Linked DNA regions of Drosophila melanogaster. The protein of the gene in region 1 interacts with the protein of each later gene in a pairwise test. Each region holds a gene or a part of one and is shown in the gene's direction. Other genes may lie near its edges.

Region 1 (3,899 bases):
AGATGTGGTTAATGGCCGGAATGAGGACATCTGCCGCTTGTTCTCCAATAATACGGTGATCCGAGATCCCGAATCCTGCAGTCAATCGATCACGTGCATCGATTCCGTCAGCTACTACAGTACATGCACGGGATCTACTCCGTTTTTCGACAAGGACACGGGCAAATGCGTTAAGTCACTGTCCACTTCCACGTCCAGCTGCTCGATATCCTGCGCGGATCGGGCCAAGCAATTCGTGGCCGACCCCAAGTCCTGCTACGGCTACTATTACTGTGCGGACGAGGAGACGGCCTTGTACGGCACCTGTCCGCAGGAGACGCACTTCAATGCCACCACCCAGATGTGCTCCCGCCAACACGAATCGGATTGCACCACCAGCACCTTCGAGTACTGCAGCATTGTTAAGAACGGCGTAAACTTCGACAATCTGCAGGGCTGCAATATGTATCACGTCTGTGAGAAGGGCGTCCTGAAGGACAAGACATGCTCGAAAACCTATTATCAGGCCAGCACGGGCGAGTGTGTGTCCAAGGCTCTGGTGGACTGCGATGCCCATCCGTTGCCCACGGATGTCTGCGGCAAGGCCAGTAAGCCCTACGAGAACAAGTTCGTCGCGGATGAAGCCACCTGTCGCGGCTACTTCTACTGCGCCAAGCAGAAGGATGGCACCCCGGACCCCAATCCGGTGTGGAACCAGTGTCCCCAGGACAGATTCTTCGATGCGAGCAGCCAGATGTGCATAACCCCCAGTTCGGTCTATTGCTCCCACGATCGTTGCGACGGTCGGACTGCTAGTTTTGTCGTTAGTGCCACCAAGGGCTGTCGCAACTATCTGAGCTGCTCCGACGGGGTAACCGTGAGCGAGAGGTCCTGCGGCAACTACTTCTTCGACGACCAGCAGGGCGCCTGCACTCCAAGTGTCCAGACCTACACCGCGTGCAAGACGTAGGCATGTATTTCCAATAAAGCTCAGAATGCAATGTGATATTTGGTTAAGGAAGTGTTGTAATGAAGTGCACTAGTTTGGATTCTTTCGGGGACTGTGGAACCTGGATTGTCATAGATATAGATACGCGGCTCTCTAGCGAGTTCGTGTTTATGCACAATGACAAGTTTCTGCTGTAAGCCAGTATCTTTGCTGTAACTCGAGGATCGTAGTTGAGATATATTGTTTTTTTACCCGTTTTTATAAGAACGTAGATTGTTTTCGTTGCTCTAATGCTTAAGATTAGCTACCAAAAAGAACAATAATCTTAAACAAGTTCTAGTTCGAAATTCGAATAAATAATATCTGATGGGTGAGTGAAGAACACCTGTATTTTGTTTAATATTCCTGGAACAATTCAGCTGAAAACTAGGTAAATGAACAAATAGAATTTTAAGAATTCACTCAATCATGGAAACTTTTCTTGCAGGTGGTAACGATGGAATAGCATGGCCTCACCGAGGAGACCATAAATGATAATCACTGTCCTATTCGTTGGTTACAATCAATGTTTTCAAAAGTTCTGATTTTCCAAACAAAAACCTATCGAAAGCGACAGTGAAATAGCAAGGCAGTATATTTTAAAAGGTTGTCATATTTACGGCACAATAACTGCTGACCGTTTAATCGCATCAGCGATAAATATATTTATAGTTCAATTAATTAACGGCCAACAGAAGGTTCATTTGACTCGTAACTACCGTGGGTATACCTCATTAACTAGTGGCACTTTCCTTTTCGACTGAAGTTGCCAAAATTTACTATGAAAGTGAGTCGTTAAGGAATCTGCAGTCAGCTGTCTCGATTTCAATCGATTTCAATCACCAATTACGACCTACTTGAAGGGTTTTACCTCCTTTCGCACAACATTGATAAGATTTGCTCATAAGAGAGGCAATAAAGCGCTGGTATCAGCAGAAGCAGTGGCAACGATAATGACTCCTAGTTAATATAAGATTCTTCCATTCACGAAACTCCATTTAGTCGCGCGTAATTGGTTCCCGAGGCCACATCAAACCACTCGATCTATTCTGTTGCAAATTAAACCAAAGTTTCCCAGCAATCAGCCATGCTAAGTGAGTTTTATGAACCCATTAATTTACCGTCATAGATATTTACTTATACACCCTGATTCAGCCTTTATTTTTAGTGAAAAGTAACAGCTTGCATGCGTTTTTAAAGATACAATTAAAATGTAGAATCTAGATATTTTGTTCATTCATATTCATTTTTATAGGTATATCTTTAAAGGTTTTTAAGCATATCTATATGTTTTTCAAAAGGTGTGCTGTATCAATCTAATATCTCGCGATCATATGTATATCATTCGTAGACCTCAAACTTGGAGTGCTTCTCGGATGCGTTCTCTTGTTGGCTACCGTAGCTCTTTCGGCGAGTGTCGGTGAATACGAGGAGCTGTGTCGCCTTTTCAAGAACGGGACCAAGGTTCGCAAGCCCGGCACCTGCGACCAGTACATTCAGTGCTACGATGGCAACGGCACCGTCCTGACCTGCCCCTCCAACCAGTCCTTCAATCCCAGCAAGGGTAGTTGCGTGGACACGTTGGCCAACAGCAACAAGTACTGCGGCAATCGCTGCGAGGGATTGGATGGCGAATGGGTGGCCGATCCGACCGAGTGCCACAAGTACTTCTACTGCATGAACGGCGTACCGCTGGCGGGGATGTGTCCCGTAGGCCAGCACTTCGATGAGCGCTCTCAGTCCTGCCTGTACGGCGTGGACTCCATGTGCGTGGATGTGAACAACATTTGCGAGCTGGTGGCGGAAAATACGAAGTTCCGGAATGAGAAGGACTGCGCCTACTACTATGAGTGTGACAAGACCGGTAACCATGCGTCCAAGAGCTGCACTGTCACCTCCAAGAAGCGCGAGTATTTCGATGTGGAGAGCGGCAATTGCGTGGAAGCCAATAAGGTGGAGTGCACCGCCCATTCGAAGGAGAACGTCTGCACCAGCAGCACAACAATGACATTCAAATCCGACCAAGCCACCTGCCGTGGATACTTCGTATGCAAGGCCCTCTATCCCGTCGCCGACCTGGATCCACTGTGGACGCAGTGCCCCGAGGGCTACTTCTTCGACGAGGATCGGCAGCTCTGCGCCAATCCCACCACAGTGGTGTGCACCCACAACAGATGCGACGGACGCGGCACGATGCTGGTGACCAGCAGCAGCAATAACTGTCACAACTACATCCGGTGTGTGGACAACAAGGAGGTGACGGAGGAAACCTGCCACTGGGATCACTTCTTCGACGAGACAGTGGAAGCGTGCTCCTCCAAGATCATCTACGATAAGTGTTGCGATGGCCGGGACTAAACAAAAAATAAATTTAACTAAAAGTGCAAAGAAAAAGAGGTAGTTGATTTTTATTGGCGATCAATATATCCGTTAAAAGCAAAGACACTAGAAAGGTACACAGGTTAAAAGGGTATACTAGATTCGTTGAGAAGTATGTAACAAGCAGAGGGAAGCGTTTTCGACCATATGGAGTATATATTCTTGATCAGGATCAATATTCCACAAACCACCCAAAACTGTCACGACCACACTTTCGAACAATTTTTAAATTATGGTTTGGTTTTTAATTTCTACTAATATTCAAAAATATCGGGGACTTCGACTATAGCATTTTTTTTTGTTTTTATTTTGTTTTCAAAACAATTATATTTACGATTTGGCTTGAAATTTCAGTTTTTTTGGGTACAATACAAACATATACTATGTGCTTTATGAGCAATCCATTAATAGCACACATTTAAAATTCAGGTAATTGCCCGTATGGTACGCATTAAAATTAGACAACACATTTCTAATCTTTCTAAATTTAGAAATCAATTAGTTTTATCGTTCTGTTGATCAGTTACCAAAATGTAGAACAACATCCACATGA
Region 2 (3,521 bases), on another chromosome or scaffold:
TTTTTACAAGACTTATTTCTCTATAAGTCCTTCAACTTTTATACTTGAAAACTCTTTGGAAAGAATGCAAGCTCAATTACTTTTTTTTTTGACTATCCTCGAGATCTGCATCTTTGCATGATGGCCAAATATTTTTATTTAATTCTCGTTGCGCGAAAATTCCAACCGAAACCGCAAAAAAAGCGACAAAAATATTTTGCATACACTTGTTTTTGTTTCTATTTTCATTTGTTTTGCGGCATTTTGCGGCGAGAAAACCAAGGAATTTGCATAACAAAGTGAAGTGACGCTTGATGGGGGAGGGGGCATGGAGAAAGGGGAACTAACAGCATACAAAAACAGAGAGACAAAGAGACCGACAGAGAGACAGGATGGCAGACGGAGAGAGCAGTTGTTATTTTTGGCACAGCCAGTGTGATGGGAGGGGAAGCGGGGGAGGAGTTGTTTACTTAGGCCAGGTTAATGCACCGCAGATTAACAACAATTAAGATGCGGGGGAGCGAGAGGGAAGAGGGAGATAGGGAGATGAGCCAGACGGAGATAGCACACGTACCTTTATCGGGAAGGGGACGCAGAGTGGGGGCCTCCTGTTGCTCCTGCCACTGGACCTTCCTGTAGCCGCTGCTGCTGCTGCGACTATTGATGCGCCCGCTGCTGTTGCTGCTGCATCTTTCCACGGCGACCAACAACAACAGCAACAAGATCCATGAATTCGCTGTCGCCGGCATTATGCCGCTGGCCGCTCTCCTCACACACACGCTACCACGCACACACAGACGCGCGCGCGACTCTCCTTGTTGTTGTTCTTCTTCTTGCTCTCCTTCGTGTTGTTTCAGCCTTCCTTTTACACAATAACACAACACTCACACACTCACAAACTCGAACTCACACCAAACACACGTAAACCGGGGGTGGCAAGCAAATCACAAACAGGTAACTTTTTTTTACTTAGATTTCCATTGAAACATGCATTTTGTTTGTTTAATTTTTCGAAACGCTTTACGCGCTCAGAATTCGCTGCACATTAGTACACCGCACTCAATCACTTCAGCATCCCTCATGCCGCGATTTTCTTATCCGCCAAACACAACGGAAAAAAACAAATATTAACTCATTATATTTTGCCGGCTGTTTTCACCGAAGCGGCGTGATTTCCCGTAATTTTTTCTTCGACTTCAGCAGCACGCACGACCGCTCGATTCTATTATATTTCGATCTCTGCTCTGCGAGATTTGCGCGAAGCGACCGAACACCTTCAACTGCGTTTACCGATTGAAGCGCTCCAACCGGTTAAATACTACGCGCAGCTATTGAACAGTATTTTTTACAGCCGCGACTCCGGTCACACCGTCGATGTTTGTGTGATGAAGAAATTTAACAGTGCTGTTAATTGGCCACACAGAAATTGTAAGGCGCTAATTTCAAATTAATTTGATTTATAATCACCTCATTACTTTTAATGGGGATATTTGTTCCAAAAACATGTATAATCCAGTTCTACGTAATCGACGTTGTCGATGGTAAAAACACCACACACAAAACAACACACAACATTACTGTGATGCTTACTGTAATAATTATTTTATAACTCTTTTTAATACTATTATCAATGATTCCCGGATCTCTGGATGGGCGGCGAGGGCATGGCCGTCTGGCGATGCCATAAATATCAACAAGTGCTAATTAAAAATAAAACAGAGGAAGGCCCTTAATAAAAAAAGCTCTGTTAGACAGAGAACGCACTTTTCGTTTTTTAGTCACAAATCGAACGGCCGGCAGTTGTCAAAATATTTTGATTTTTCAAATTTTCCGATAGCTCAATACAAATCCAAAAATACCCACCGAACAGAAAAATTTTTAAGAATTCCATAATTGTCTGTACCCAGAATGCTGCGCCAACTACGGGTAAGCCCTGGAAATGTACCCGAACCGGTTGCATAAGACTGCAATTGAATGCAATTTATGCAGTTTTTCTACATATGTACATTTTCTATTTTTATTTTCGTAACGCCCAGTTGACAATGGATATTTCGGGTTGGATCTTCCTCCCGTGGAGACGCTCCATGTCCAACATGAAGGACTCTCCTCCACCGCCACCACCACTGGCCAGCACTTTCAACGACGTGATTGTGGACTACGAGGACCCGGATTATCTTCCACTGCCGGAGTATCCGGTGCGTCCAAACGAGCCGTTGGAAACTCGCAAGCAACGGTGGGTAAAATTATTAACTATTAATTAATAACTACTACTATAACTATACTTTACTTTATTCTATACTTTACTATACTTACTTTACTTATAAGGAAAATCATTAATTAAAAGAGCTCATATTTAATATATATATTTTCCCTTTGCTCTCATCCACCATTGCCTTAAACACTTCCATTTATGAACTCTACTTTTTTTTAAGAAAGCATGACAACCTCTATTTAGAAAAATTTATACTATTTTAATTTTAAAATGTAGAACAGAAAAATAGGATTTAAACTCCAAGTTTCTTTTTTCTTCATCATCGATCGCACTTCTTAATTTTGCATCAGTTGTACAACCAACTAAGCTATTCTTTCCATAAGTATTTTTTAATATTAACCAGAAAAACACTTCACCTCCAGGCTTTTGTACCAATCGCGCAAGCGCGGAATGCTGGAGAACGATCTTCTGCTGAGCACCTTTGCGGCCAAGCATCTCCAGAACTTCAGCGCCGAGCAGACGGCGCAGTACGACCAGTTGATCAACGGGGTCAGCAACGACTGGGATATCTATTACTGGGCCACCGAGGTGAAGCCCACGCCCAAGGAGTACGACACGGAGATCATGGGGCTGTTGAAGGAGCACGTCAAGAACGCCGAACGGGTCACGCGACTCCGCCAGCCGGATCTGAATATTTAGGCATGCACCTGGTGCTTATGAATATGATTAGTTAGAAGTTTATATGATCCAGGAGATCATATCCTTACCACAATAACCAAAGCGCAAATATGTATGTTTAGAATACCAAATATAATCAATATTTAAAGTTCTGGAAGTGAACAACCTAAACTAGCACCGCTCGAACACCTTGTACAGAGTGGGCAGGTTAGTGAGCTCGTAGATCTGATCCTTGATGCGTGGTGGTGGCAGAAGATATTTTTTAAAGGCAGGAAATAGAACGTGTTCCATTGTCCATCTGGAAAAGCCCGCAGTCGCACCTTCCCGCCAATCCAATTGCGCGTAAAATCGAGCAGTTTCCCTACAGAATGTCTCGAAGCATCGTGTCTCCTGCTCCCAGTCCACTTCGGTGGCCAAGCGGAGCAGGTAAACAGGCAGGTGGGCCACACAAGGTCGATGCTGGTGCAGCAAACTGGGCAGAGATTCGAGCATTCCATCCTCCGAGATGCGCAGCCCGAAATACTCTCTCATGATGGGCGCCTTTTTCAGAAGAATGTCCGCAGCACCGTCCGCCAGCTCAGCCTTATCCCCGTCTTCGGGCGTCCAGCCGGCGGCTTCGCTTTCCAGCGACAAGATTAGCAGCTCCTTGAGA
Region 3 (5,459 bases), on another chromosome or scaffold:
AACCAGGAGGACAACGATATCATCGACATTGTGGGCACCGAGTACTTCTACGAGGAGATGAATGGTGAGCTCAAGGCGGAGAACTTCTTGACCGGCTTGGACTACGCCCCGGAGCATCTGTGCGATGCTATTCTCACGGCAGCAGTGGGCCATCACCAGCACAATATGCAGCACCAGAAGGATCCGCAATCGCATGCAGGGCAACAGCAGCAGCAGGATCATCACACCAACGATGGCGAAACCAATGATGCTCCTGGATCAAGCAATGGTGGCTCATATCAGGGACACCCAGTATCCCAGTTGCAGGCGCACAATGGCAGCGGTGGAGGAGGCGAGCATAGCGGCGGTGGTCAATCCCACTCCGGAATGCTCCAGCACCCTGCTTTTCACGGTGGCTTGCATCCACACCTGTTGAGGCGCCAGCATGGAAGTGGATCACTATCCAGAGAGTCGCCATTTGAGGAGAAGCTTCTGCAGTTCATGCAGGATGCATTTCCAAAAAAGAGCAAGAAGCGCAAGAACCGGGATCCCGACAAGCTGTTCCTCTTATCCCTGTACGAAGAGATCAAGAGAGTTCCGGAGGAGATACGCCTTGATGTAAAGTCCGAACTAATGCAGATACTGAAGAAGTATCAGAAGAAGTCGCCTGTCAAAGCGGAGAAGCCCGCGCCCTCCTCTACGTCAACCTCCTCAAAACTCAGCTCTAGCAGCAGTGGCAGTAGCACGGTGACTACTCACTTGTCCCACAGCATGTACCAGTTGCAAAAGAAATACGAAAAGGGCGAGCGTGAACCATCGCCTCAATCACAGGTAGAGCGAGTAGCATCTGCAGGCGCAGTTGCTGTGCCCATTCATACCTCCCAGCAGCTGCCTCTTTTCCAACTTCAGAAGAAGTACGAGGAGAACAGCGTGGAGAAGGTTCATCAGCAGCAACAGCAACAGCAAAGCGAGCAACGCAAGCATGTGGAGGCCGCTCAGGCCCTTCATGCTGCCCACCAGCAACCGCCTCCACCGCCACCCAATGAGCACCTGCACCACCCCCAGATGGCCCACAACATCATGTTTCCGCTGGGACAGCTTCGCAACGAGCAGCCGACCGCACAGCAACACCAGCATGGCCACAATCCCCACCAGCAACAGCAACAGCATCCCCACCAGCAGCAGCAACAGGGACAGCAACACCATCCGCCAACGATCTTCGGATCGACCGCCAGCGAACGGCCTCCAATGTCCTACGAAAATGTCGGATGAGTCCTGAGCCGTCTGTGGGAAGCCACTTGTGGAGCACCACGCCCTGCGACGGTGTCCCCCACGACGGCAGACGCGCACAGCTGTTAGCCCTCGATTTAGACGGCAATTCGTAGGTCTCATTCTTATGCTAGCCTATACCTAAGTACACATTGCTCACTACACTACTACAGTCAAAAATGGTGCAGTCAATGAGGAAGATACTCCTGATGTATGCCATTTTGTAGTAAGTGGATGCCGTGATCCTCATGTAAATGTTCCCGTGGCAATAACAGCGTAGCTCAACTGTGACTCAAGTTCTCAATAGATCGCGACGCATACATTTTTTCGGTGTAAATACAAATATAATTGAATCTTAAAAACTGTGGATGTTTTTTAGTTCAAGTAAAATGATTGATCCCCAACTTCTGGCAAGAGCTCCCTATTCCCAGGTTTTTGTTTTTCTGGCCAAATCGGAGAAGTCATTGGCTTAGCTCTGAGGTGGAATCCACAATCTTGTTTGTTTGGACTTTGAAAAGCTGTAAATCCGGCAAGCGGTCCGTCGTTAAGCTGTCTTCAGGAATATCTAGTCTTCATCTCTCGTAACGCGATAACGAAACCCACAGGGAGCACGCCATATCATAAAGATAGTCAAACAGCTGACTGATCCGGTCTGCCTAAGTGCGAATTTCAACTGAGCGCTGCCGATCGCCGAACTCGTCGTTGTCTGTCGCATGTTGGGCAGGTTGATGAGCGATCACGAGCCGAGCTGCAGCATAGTCCGCCAGATCTGCGGCGCTTATCAGTGGCGTCCGGCTGGGATAAAGAGATACAGATACAGATACAGGCGGATCGACTGGAGGCAGACTGGGTCTGGCATTCTTTTCCGGCAGCTGCCAGCAGCAGTTGATCGTCAGCGATCGAATCACAGGGATTGGCGGCAGCTCCTGCAGATGCAGAGTTCAAATTTCCAGTGAAGTTCTCAACCAGTCAATCCATTCACCATGGGCCAAGGTACGAGAATGATCTGAAATTCGTGTCTTACCTCGAAACTCGAAGTCGAAGATCTTGTTTAAGACCTCCAAATGAAGAACAACCACAAGTTGGGAGCTCGCATTTCATGTACTCTACTTTGATCTTTTTAGTCGAGGCGCGCACTGTGCTGTGGTACATGACATTCATCGGTTTCATCGTGAACTACATGATCCGGATCAATCTGAACATTACCATTGTGGACATGATTGCCGGGAAGGGTGCTATTACCTCAAATGAAACCCACGAGAACTCTACGGACTTGGCTGCCCTTGCGGAAATGAATGAACGATTTTCGCTGGAGCGTTGGTTTTTGGACTGGGCGAATGTGAGTATCAGATCGCTGAATCACTGGTTAAGTGCTTAATGAAAGCCACAAAGTGACGGAGCTTGTGCAACAACGGGGCGTATGAGTAACGTGTGTGTGCACTATATCTTTGGCAGATTCCGTACGAAAAGAATGGATTTCACTGGAACGAGAAGCAGCAGGGCGCTCTGTTGGGATCATTTTTCTGGGCCCACTGGACACTGCAGATTCCCGGCGGCATCTTGGCCACCAAATATGGTACTAAACTGGTGTTTGGTTGGTCCAATGGCATCGGTGTGTTCTGCTGTTTCCTTATACCAATCGTATCGTACTGGAGCTACACGGGCTTGATTATCCTGCGAGTATTCCAGGGGTGGATAACGGTAAGGGATCGTTGAGCAGATTTTGATGGAAAGTTTAAATCTTTAATTTTAAAGGGCTTGGCCTGGCCATCGATGCACGTGCTCACTGCCAAATGGATTCCGCCCAACGAGCGCAGCAAGTTTGTCAGTGCTTACTTGGGCAGTTCTGTGGGCGTGGCCCTGTTCTATCCGATCTTCGGCTACATCATCGATTGGACACGGTGGGAGTGGGTCTACTATATCTGCGGAATCGTGGGCACTCTCTGGTTCATCGCCTGGCAGTTCCTTGTGTTCGATAGTCCCGCTGAGCATCCCCGCATCGCTGACTCGGAGAGAAAGTTCATCGAGAAGTCCTTGGGTGCCTCCATTCAGGGCAGCAAGGGACCCACACCCTGGAAGGCGATTGCCACCTCTCGTCCCGTTTGGCTGAATGTGGTCGCCCAATGGGGTGGCATCTGGGGTCTCTTCACTTTGATGACCCATGCGCCGACTTACTTCAGACTGATTCACCACTGGAACATTCGAGCGGTAAGTGTTTAATAGATTTTGTAGGTCAAGAGTATTACACATTGCCTGCTCCTTTTCAGACTGGCTTCCTGTCCGGACTGCCGCATCTTATGAGAATGCTCTTCGCCTACGTCTTCTCCATATTCGCCGACTATCTTCTGCGCACGGATAAGATGAGTCGCACAAATGTCCGCAAGTTGGCCACATTCATTTGTGAGTATTACTTCTGATTGTTTAGATATTTTGTACAGCCTTAATAGCATTTAAACTCTTTTTTGTTCTAGGCTGTGGCACTAAAGGCTTAATCGTATTAGCACTAGCTTACTTTGGCTACAACGCGACGGCTGCCATCGTGTTGGTCACAGTGGCCACCATGCTTCACGGCGCCGTGTCCTCGGGTCCCTTGGCCTCCATGGTCGATCTGTCGCCAAACTATGCGGGCATTGTCCTGGGCGTGAGTGGAATGATTGGTGGAATGCCGGGCTTCATATCGCCCTTCATCGTGGGCCAACTTACTCACAATAATGTAAGTTGTATTTTTGCCTTTGAAAGGAGTTATTTATTCCATGTATAATAATCCCTTTTTAAAGCAAACCATTGATGCCTGGAAGAATGTGTTCCTGCTCACCTCGTTGATGTTAACAGGCAGTGGCATCTTGTATGTGCTTTTCTCGGAATCCAAATTGCAGCCATGGAACAGTGGCTGTCACCAGTTGCCTGATTCCGGGCTAAAGGAACTTCAGAATCTGGGACGCGATCAGGACGATGAGGAGGAGAAGAAGCCTCTTAAATCTGACCATGATAAGGAAACCCCTATAGTCGCTGAACAGGAGACCAAAACAAAATCTGATTGCGATGAAAAGTGACATGTGTGGTCGCACTCTGTTTAATTGTCATAATATCGTGTAGATTATGGCAACGAACAACGTCTGATAAGGCTTATCGTCATTTTGTGTAAATAACTACCCGTGAATCCACTGAGTTTAGCATCTTTAACCTCTATATTTAAGTGAGTTGCTAACTATACCATAGGATTAGTTCCCTGTTCTCCCCCAAGATTACCTTCTTATACATATAAATACAAATGTATATGATTTATTACCAGCTTTTGTTTATTATTTAAACAACACTTTCGGCGTAAAAGTCACTTCATGTCGGCATGGCGTTAATCAAATAAAATGTTTTATGTTTACGGAAGCTAAAAATGCTTTGCTGCTGTCTGGGAAAGTTTTTGCTTAAGCCAGGTGATTCAACTAATCCCGACTAAGATAATTTTTTTCAGAAGGTCAAAAGGGATTTTTTAATATCTCAGCATATTTATTTGCAGTTATTAAAAATAATGTTAATTAAATATTTGAGTGTGACGCCACGCGAGTACTTTTCTTTAACGTAAAACATTATAATTCGCTTTATTTTTAGACATTGCTATGTATTCTTTAATTTTCGTATTAATACTACTCCCTAAGAAAATATTAACATCCAAAATTAAGCTAATTAAAGAATTTAAAATTTTGAATTAAATTATGTTATGTATTTAATCACAGTCTACAAAGTATTAGCTTTTCTTTTAAGCTATATTTACGGGGCTTAAGGTACTATTATTAGTTTTTTCACGGACTCAGATATCAGATATCTACGTCAACGAGGCAGTAAAACGATTTTACAACTAAATAACACTGCCATAAACTATATACACATTTTTTCTTAATTTATAACCGAGAGCGGAAAGACTTCCTTCTAAATTAAGTTCACAAAAGTTGAACGACAATTGTTATACTATTTTATTTTACAGAATTAAATTTGTATGGCGTTCTTAATTTTTCAAACTTGATAGCAATCTTGGGATATTTTATTAACCCAACGACGTAATGAGAACCCCATATTACAGCAAAATAAATGATTTGCCAAACCGAAGTTAATAATTGCAATTTAAATCAAAACTGATTGAACCGGAAAATCGTTTTCCCTTTTTGGGCTGCCGTTTCTCTCTCATTACTCATACCACGCGTTGCACAATTGGAAGT
Region 4 (5,482 bases), 4.7 Mb from region 1:
CAAATTTCAGTGTTACCCTATTGGTTTTGCATTAGTGTTACCACACCCACTACTCAACACAATCAGCTGACAGCCGCTCTGTATGGCAACACTGTAGCACGCACATGTTGTTTATGTTCGAAACTCACGATTAATTTTATTTTACGCCGCAGAAAAGCTTAATAAATGCAATCAGGATGAAGGTGAAAATGATTAGTCGCAATCCGGATAACTATGTCCGAGAAACCAAACTGCAACAGCACAAAAGTAAGTTCATATACGAAGAAAGACCAAAGTATTATAAGAATGCCACTTTCAGTGCCCAGGAACTACGATCCTTCGCTGCATCCTTTGGAGGGTCCCAGGGAATACGTGCGTGCCCTGAATGCCACCAAGTTGGATCGAGTATTTGCCAAACCCTTCGTCTGCAATTTGAGCGGGCATCGCGATGGAGTCTCCTGCTTCGGAAAGCATCCCAAGCAACTTTCCACCTTGGCCACCGGCGCCTATGACGGCGAAGTGCGCATTTGGGACTTGGCGAATCGTATCAGCTCTCGGAACTTTGTGGCCCACGACGGTTTCGTTCGCGGCATTGCTTACACCCAGAACGGAGGTCGCATTTTCACCGTGGGAGATGATAAAACCATCAAGGTTTGGAAAGCAGAGGCTCCGGAAGTCGGCGAGGATGAGGTGCCGGTGAACACTATACTGAGTAAATTTGGACTGCACGGCATCTCGCACAATCGCAGGGATAACAAGTTCGCCACCTGTGGCGAGGTATGCGCCATTTGGGACGAAAGGCACAACGATCCTTTGAAGACATTGAAGTGGGGCGTCGATACCCTTCACACCATATCCTATAACCCCGTGGAAACAAGCATCCTGGCGTGCTGTGCCAGCGATCGCAGCATTATCCTGTACGATCAGAGAGAGGCGCAGCCACTAAGGAAGGTCGTCCTAACCATGAAGAGCAACAAGCTCGCGTGGAATCCCATGGAGGCGTTCAACTTCACAGTGGCCAACGAGGATTGCAAGTGAGTAAAACGGCCATACGAAGAGGATGTGTTGCTAAAATCTTTATTTCTTACAGCCTTTATACCTTTGACACTCGCAAGCTGCAAACGCCGCTGAAGGTTCACTTTGACCATGTTTCCGCTGTCACCGATGTTGACTACTCGCCCACTGGCAAGGAATTCGTCTCGGCCAGCTACGACAAGACCATTCGGATCTACAATGCCCACCACAGTCACTCGCGGGATATTTACCACACAAAACGCATGCAGCATGTGGTCTGCGTGGCCTGGTCCCTCGATAATCGATACGTTTTCTCCGGCTCCGACGAAATGAACGTCCGCATGTGGAAGGCGAATGCCTCCGAAAAGCTGGGCGTCATCCGTCCACGTGAGCGCGTCAATTTCAATTACCAGGAGGCGCTGAAGCAAAAGTATGCCGCTCATCCGCAGATCAAGCGCATCGCGCGCCATCGCCAGGTGCCGCGTCACGTGCTCAATGCACAGAAGAAGATGCGCACGGTCAAGGAGAAGGAGCAGGTCAAGGAGGCCAATGTGCGCAAGCACACCAAGAAGAGCAAGAAGGTGCCCTACGTCAGCGAGAAAAAGAAGCATGTGCTGAAGGAGGAGGTGTGAGGATGATTGCTAACGACTGTAGTTGGATAAGTTTGAATAAAATTGATTTTTGTAAGGAGACTATGTATGTATATATTAAGAAGCCTAATCTCAATTGAGTTTCTCACTTTCTATCATTGTTCTCAAGTGACTTTCAGTTTGGTCAAGTCAAACCGAAGTTATCAGTGAATTTGCTTAGTTTAAACTATTGTTTGGCTTTAATTCAGTGATACTAGAAGAAAGAAGATGTTGATAAGTTCTAAGGAATACTCTCCTGTTGCTCTAGAGAGAAAACTCATTTGCTTTGCCATGCAGCAACGTTTCGCGGAAATTTGAAATTCAATTCGTATCCGATAAGCCCTCGCGGGCGATAACGTTTGGGGAAAATCGGAGAGACGCGTCCATTTCTAGGGGATTCTCGATTATAAAAGGTTGCCAGCCCCACCGTTGGTGCTCAGTATTTGTTCGTTTGTTGTTACGGCAGCCGCCAGTCGGTCGTTAGTTTTTGTTTTCGTTCATTTGTTTATACTCGCGCGGCACTCGGCCCCCCTCCCGTTCCCACATAACCCGTTTGAAAGGCATCAACTGAGAGTCATTGAAATCATGGAGGCACTGGGGGATCTCTTGGCGCCACACAGCGAACTAATCGCCAAGGTAGCCGGCACCATAACTACCCTGCAATTTCTGTCCGGAGTGGTTCTGATGAACGACATCCGCAAGAAGGGTAGCAGCGACGTCTACCCGGTGGGCCCATTTCTCTTCGGAGTGGTGCTGTAAGTAACCTAATTGGGATTCCGTGATGCTCCACTGCATGCGACATCGAAAAAAAAACTAGTGGGCAGGGGGCAGGAAAAGCGAGTGAAAAGAACAAAAGCCAACGCATCTGTGTGGGAATTGATTAAATTTTAGAACTGTCGCCATGACAGCACAGAATCGAGTCTCTTCAAGGCCGCCAGTGAATCGGTTTTGCACACAATTCAAGAAGATAACAATGGAATCGATTACATCACTGCGTTGGCCAAATGGGAATTACACTTCGATCATCCGCGACCGTTACATTTCGAAATCGTTAACCTTGTCGAAAATCCGCCAGCAGCACTTTTGCCGCCTTATCGATGCGAGAACCCTCCAAACACGTAGCTCTTATCTAGAGTGTATAATTTTAGAGCTCCTCTATTACGAATGCTGATCCGGTAGAGTCTGTCCAAATCTGGGAGAGCCGCTAATCGTTTATACGACGGGCGAAAGATACGCGACTCGCCCTCTCCACGTGCTCGGCATAAAGCGGGGCTGCCCAGATTCCAAAGGGGGTGGGCCACCCAGTGGTGGTGATGGGAATATCTTGTCATCTATAAATATAATCTTCTCTAATTATAGCCGTAAGGCTTGTCCATTACTGCATATGAATAATAGTGTTTGCTTAGCAAAACATAATATTTTTTTAACTATAGTTTCCGTAATAATACATTTCTTTAAACAATTCCAAATTCCTGCTGGCTAAAGCACTAAATGTAGATGAACTCTCGAGGAATTTACCTTTTTATTTTTAAATCGTAAACTTTCCACTGTTTGTTTTGAACATCTCAAAAGATCATAAAGTGCCATATGGCAGCAAGTGAATGAGTACCATCAAGTGAGTGTGCCATCACTGCGCCGGGGCTTACTTGGGGGTGGTTTTCCGGAAGGTGTTAACTTGGACTGTGTCAAGTGTAAGGACCCGCAGACATGCAAGCGAAGCAACAGTTGTATGCTAAACGAATTCCACTCCACCCAATGGGCGCTCGAGGTCTCGGTCAAGGGCAGGTTCCTCGGCCAGTTTGCATTTCATTTCGCCCAGCCCGGGTGTATTTCACCATTGTTGTGGGTTTGTTTATAGGTTGATCGATGATAATGCTGATTATTTGTTGAGCGTTGAGCTCCTTATCAAATGCTACGTGTACCATGATTTGCACGCCGGCCCTATTATGCTTATTTATCTATCTCCACCTAGTATAGAATCTGATAACGCAATTAATAAGTGTAAACTGGTTTTTTTTTTCAATGAAGTGGTAGACTGGAGCACTTTAAATGAAAACTAGTTCCATTTCTCTTGATTCGAACTTTCTGTAGCGACTTACTGCTGGAAAACTGGTTCGGGCAGGGTCAATTAATTTGAATTAATTATAATATCCTCAGAAAACTATGCTCTTATCTACAAGTTAACTGGAATTTATAAAATTTCCAGCCTTATATTGAAGAATATTTTAAAATGAATATGAATGGTAACAGTATTACATTTTTGTTTAAATATAAAAACCAAATTTTGTCCTAAATTAAAGTAACTAATTAACAAATTGTTGAACTTTCTAGGACCGTTCTCAGCTTGAAGCTGGCCAACATTATGAATGATGCTGCCATGATCAATACGAATTTAATCGGCCTGGTGATAAACTTCGTCTTCCTCTTCGGATTTTACTACTACGCCTCGAGCGCCAGCAGGAGCAAGATCTGGAAGCAGATTGGCTATTCCTCGGTGTTCCTATTGGCCATCACCGCGTATGCCAACTTCGAGGATCCCGCCAAGATTGAGTTCCGCCTGGGAATGCTGATCACCGGCATCCTGGTTTGGATGGTGGGCTCTCCCCTGCTGCATCTGCCGAAAATCATTGAGAAGAAGAGCACCGAGGGAATGCCGTTCCCGATTATCTTTGCCGGTAATCTGGTGGCATTTTCCTGGACGCTGTATGCCATCTCCATCAAGAATACTGTGATGGTGGTAAGTTAGCAATTAATTCTATTAAACGAGAATGTAAATTTGAACCGAAAATTCTTCTATTTCAGCTGCAGAACCTTTTGCTGCTGGTCCTGGGCGGCATTCAGCTCTCCATGTTCGCTATTTATCCCAACAAACCGGCTGCCGAGAAGCCCAAGGACAGCAAGAAGGACAAATAATTGAAATCGAACGCTTTACCTAGAAAAAAGGACAAATAATGGGTTGTTGCAACAACATTACCAAGTAATAAGTAGCTAGGCTTTGAGGAATAATCAAATTATTGCTTGAATTTACACTAAACCGCCACAAGAAAACTAAATTTGAGCTAAACGAATTATTTTTCTATATAGGAAATATTTTCTTAGAACAAATCCAGCTAACTAAGTTGCTAGCTAACCTAGAATTGTTATTATATTGACTATTATTGTATATAACTACTACATACTTGCAATTTTTGACAATAATTCAAATCTTCCAAATGCATACGTATTTATAAAGTCAACATAATATGTAATAAAACAATCTGTTACAAAATCGAGTGAGTTGATGGTAAATGCCATTGGGCATTTCCCGTTTAGGCTGCTGGCACCGTGGAATTGTAGTGGGCACCCAATTGGTATATGTGGCGGTGGTAGCAGATGATCAGCGGTGATCCACCGAATTCCTCTTGCCCCAGGAGCGTCGGTGCTCCTTCCGCTTGGATAACTTCAATGGGCACCCGGAGTAGCGATGAGATGGCCTTCAGTTCTATGTGGCCACCCCAAGCGTGAGTTTTTGCTATGTCGTGGCAGTATTGTTCGAATTGTTGGTCGTTCAGAATGTCTCCTGTTTCCGGGTGGATCATGTATGAGATAAGCGAGTCCTTGTGAGCACGCACATAATTGGCAGTTTCCTCCCGCAACTCCTGAACACTGTGACCTTTGGTGCAATTATTATGGATTAGTTTTGGTGCTGTGTGGACTGAATCGTGAAGCATTACCTGGAAGAGCATTTACGATAAGTTGGTGTCTGATGGACTGATATAAGCAGTCGCCATCGGAGGGTATATTGTGAAGGGATAATTGGCGTTGGGATAGCTTTGCTGTAATCTGCTGCAGTTCGATTAACTTGGGCGTTGGCTGATTGG

The links.
Region 2: the proteins of CG17147 (region 1) and CG14757 interact in a two-hybrid assay, tested with the Drosophila melanogaster proteins (one large-scale study listed by BioGRID).
Region 3: the proteins of CG17147 (region 1) and NaPi-T interact in a two-hybrid assay, tested with the Drosophila melanogaster proteins (one large-scale study listed by BioGRID).
Region 4: the proteins of CG17147 (region 1) and CG7272 interact in a two-hybrid assay, tested with the Drosophila melanogaster proteins (one large-scale study listed by BioGRID).

What each region holds. Positions count from the first base shown.
Region 1 is NT_037436.4:20,221,969-20,225,867, forward strand, and holds CG17147 (uncharacterized protein), read left to right. Parts: upstream 1-1,963; 5' UTR 1,964-2,054; coding exon 2,055-2,061; intron 2,062-2,318; coding exon 2,319-3,325; 3' UTR 3,326-3,356; downstream 3,357-3,899. Other genes in the region: CG17145 (uncharacterized protein), read left to right, coding at 1-949.
Region 2 is NT_033778.4:8,171,864-8,175,384, reverse strand, and holds CG14757 (uncharacterized protein), read left to right. Parts: upstream 1-1,771; 5' UTR 1,772-1,887; coding exon 1,888-1,905; intron 1,906-2,015; coding exon 2,016-2,212; intron 2,213-2,613; coding exon 2,614-2,890; 3' UTR 2,891-3,021; downstream 3,022-3,521. Other genes in the region: LRP1 (LDL receptor protein 1), read right to left, coding at 554-728; Mlh1, read right to left, coding at 3,041-3,521.
Region 3 is NT_033778.4:14,842,210-14,847,668, reverse strand, and holds NaPi-T (Na[+]-dependent inorganic phosphate cotransporter), read left to right. Parts: upstream 1-1,794; 5' UTR 1,795-2,231; coding exon 2,232-2,241; intron 2,242-2,372; coding exon 2,373-2,587; intron 2,588-2,703; coding exon 2,704-2,949; intron 2,950-3,003; coding exon 3,004-3,456; intron 3,457-3,515; coding exon 3,516-3,648; intron 3,649-3,719; coding exon 3,720-3,961; intron 3,962-4,025; coding exon 4,026-4,301; 3' UTR 4,302-4,949; downstream 4,950-5,459. Other genes in the region: CG10209 (uncharacterized protein), read left to right, coding at 1-1,251.
Region 4 is NT_037436.4:15,498,884-15,504,365, forward strand, and holds CG7272 (uncharacterized protein), read left to right. Parts: upstream 1-2,054; 5' UTR 2,055-2,207; coding exon 2,208-2,377; intron 2,378-3,953; coding exon 3,954-4,359; intron 4,360-4,424; coding exon 4,425-4,535; 3' UTR 4,536-4,886; downstream 4,887-5,482. Other genes in the region: CG7275 (uncharacterized protein), read left to right, coding at 177-246, 299-1,013, 1,070-1,625; CG7857 (uncharacterized protein), read right to left, coding at 4,931-5,274, 5,336-5,482.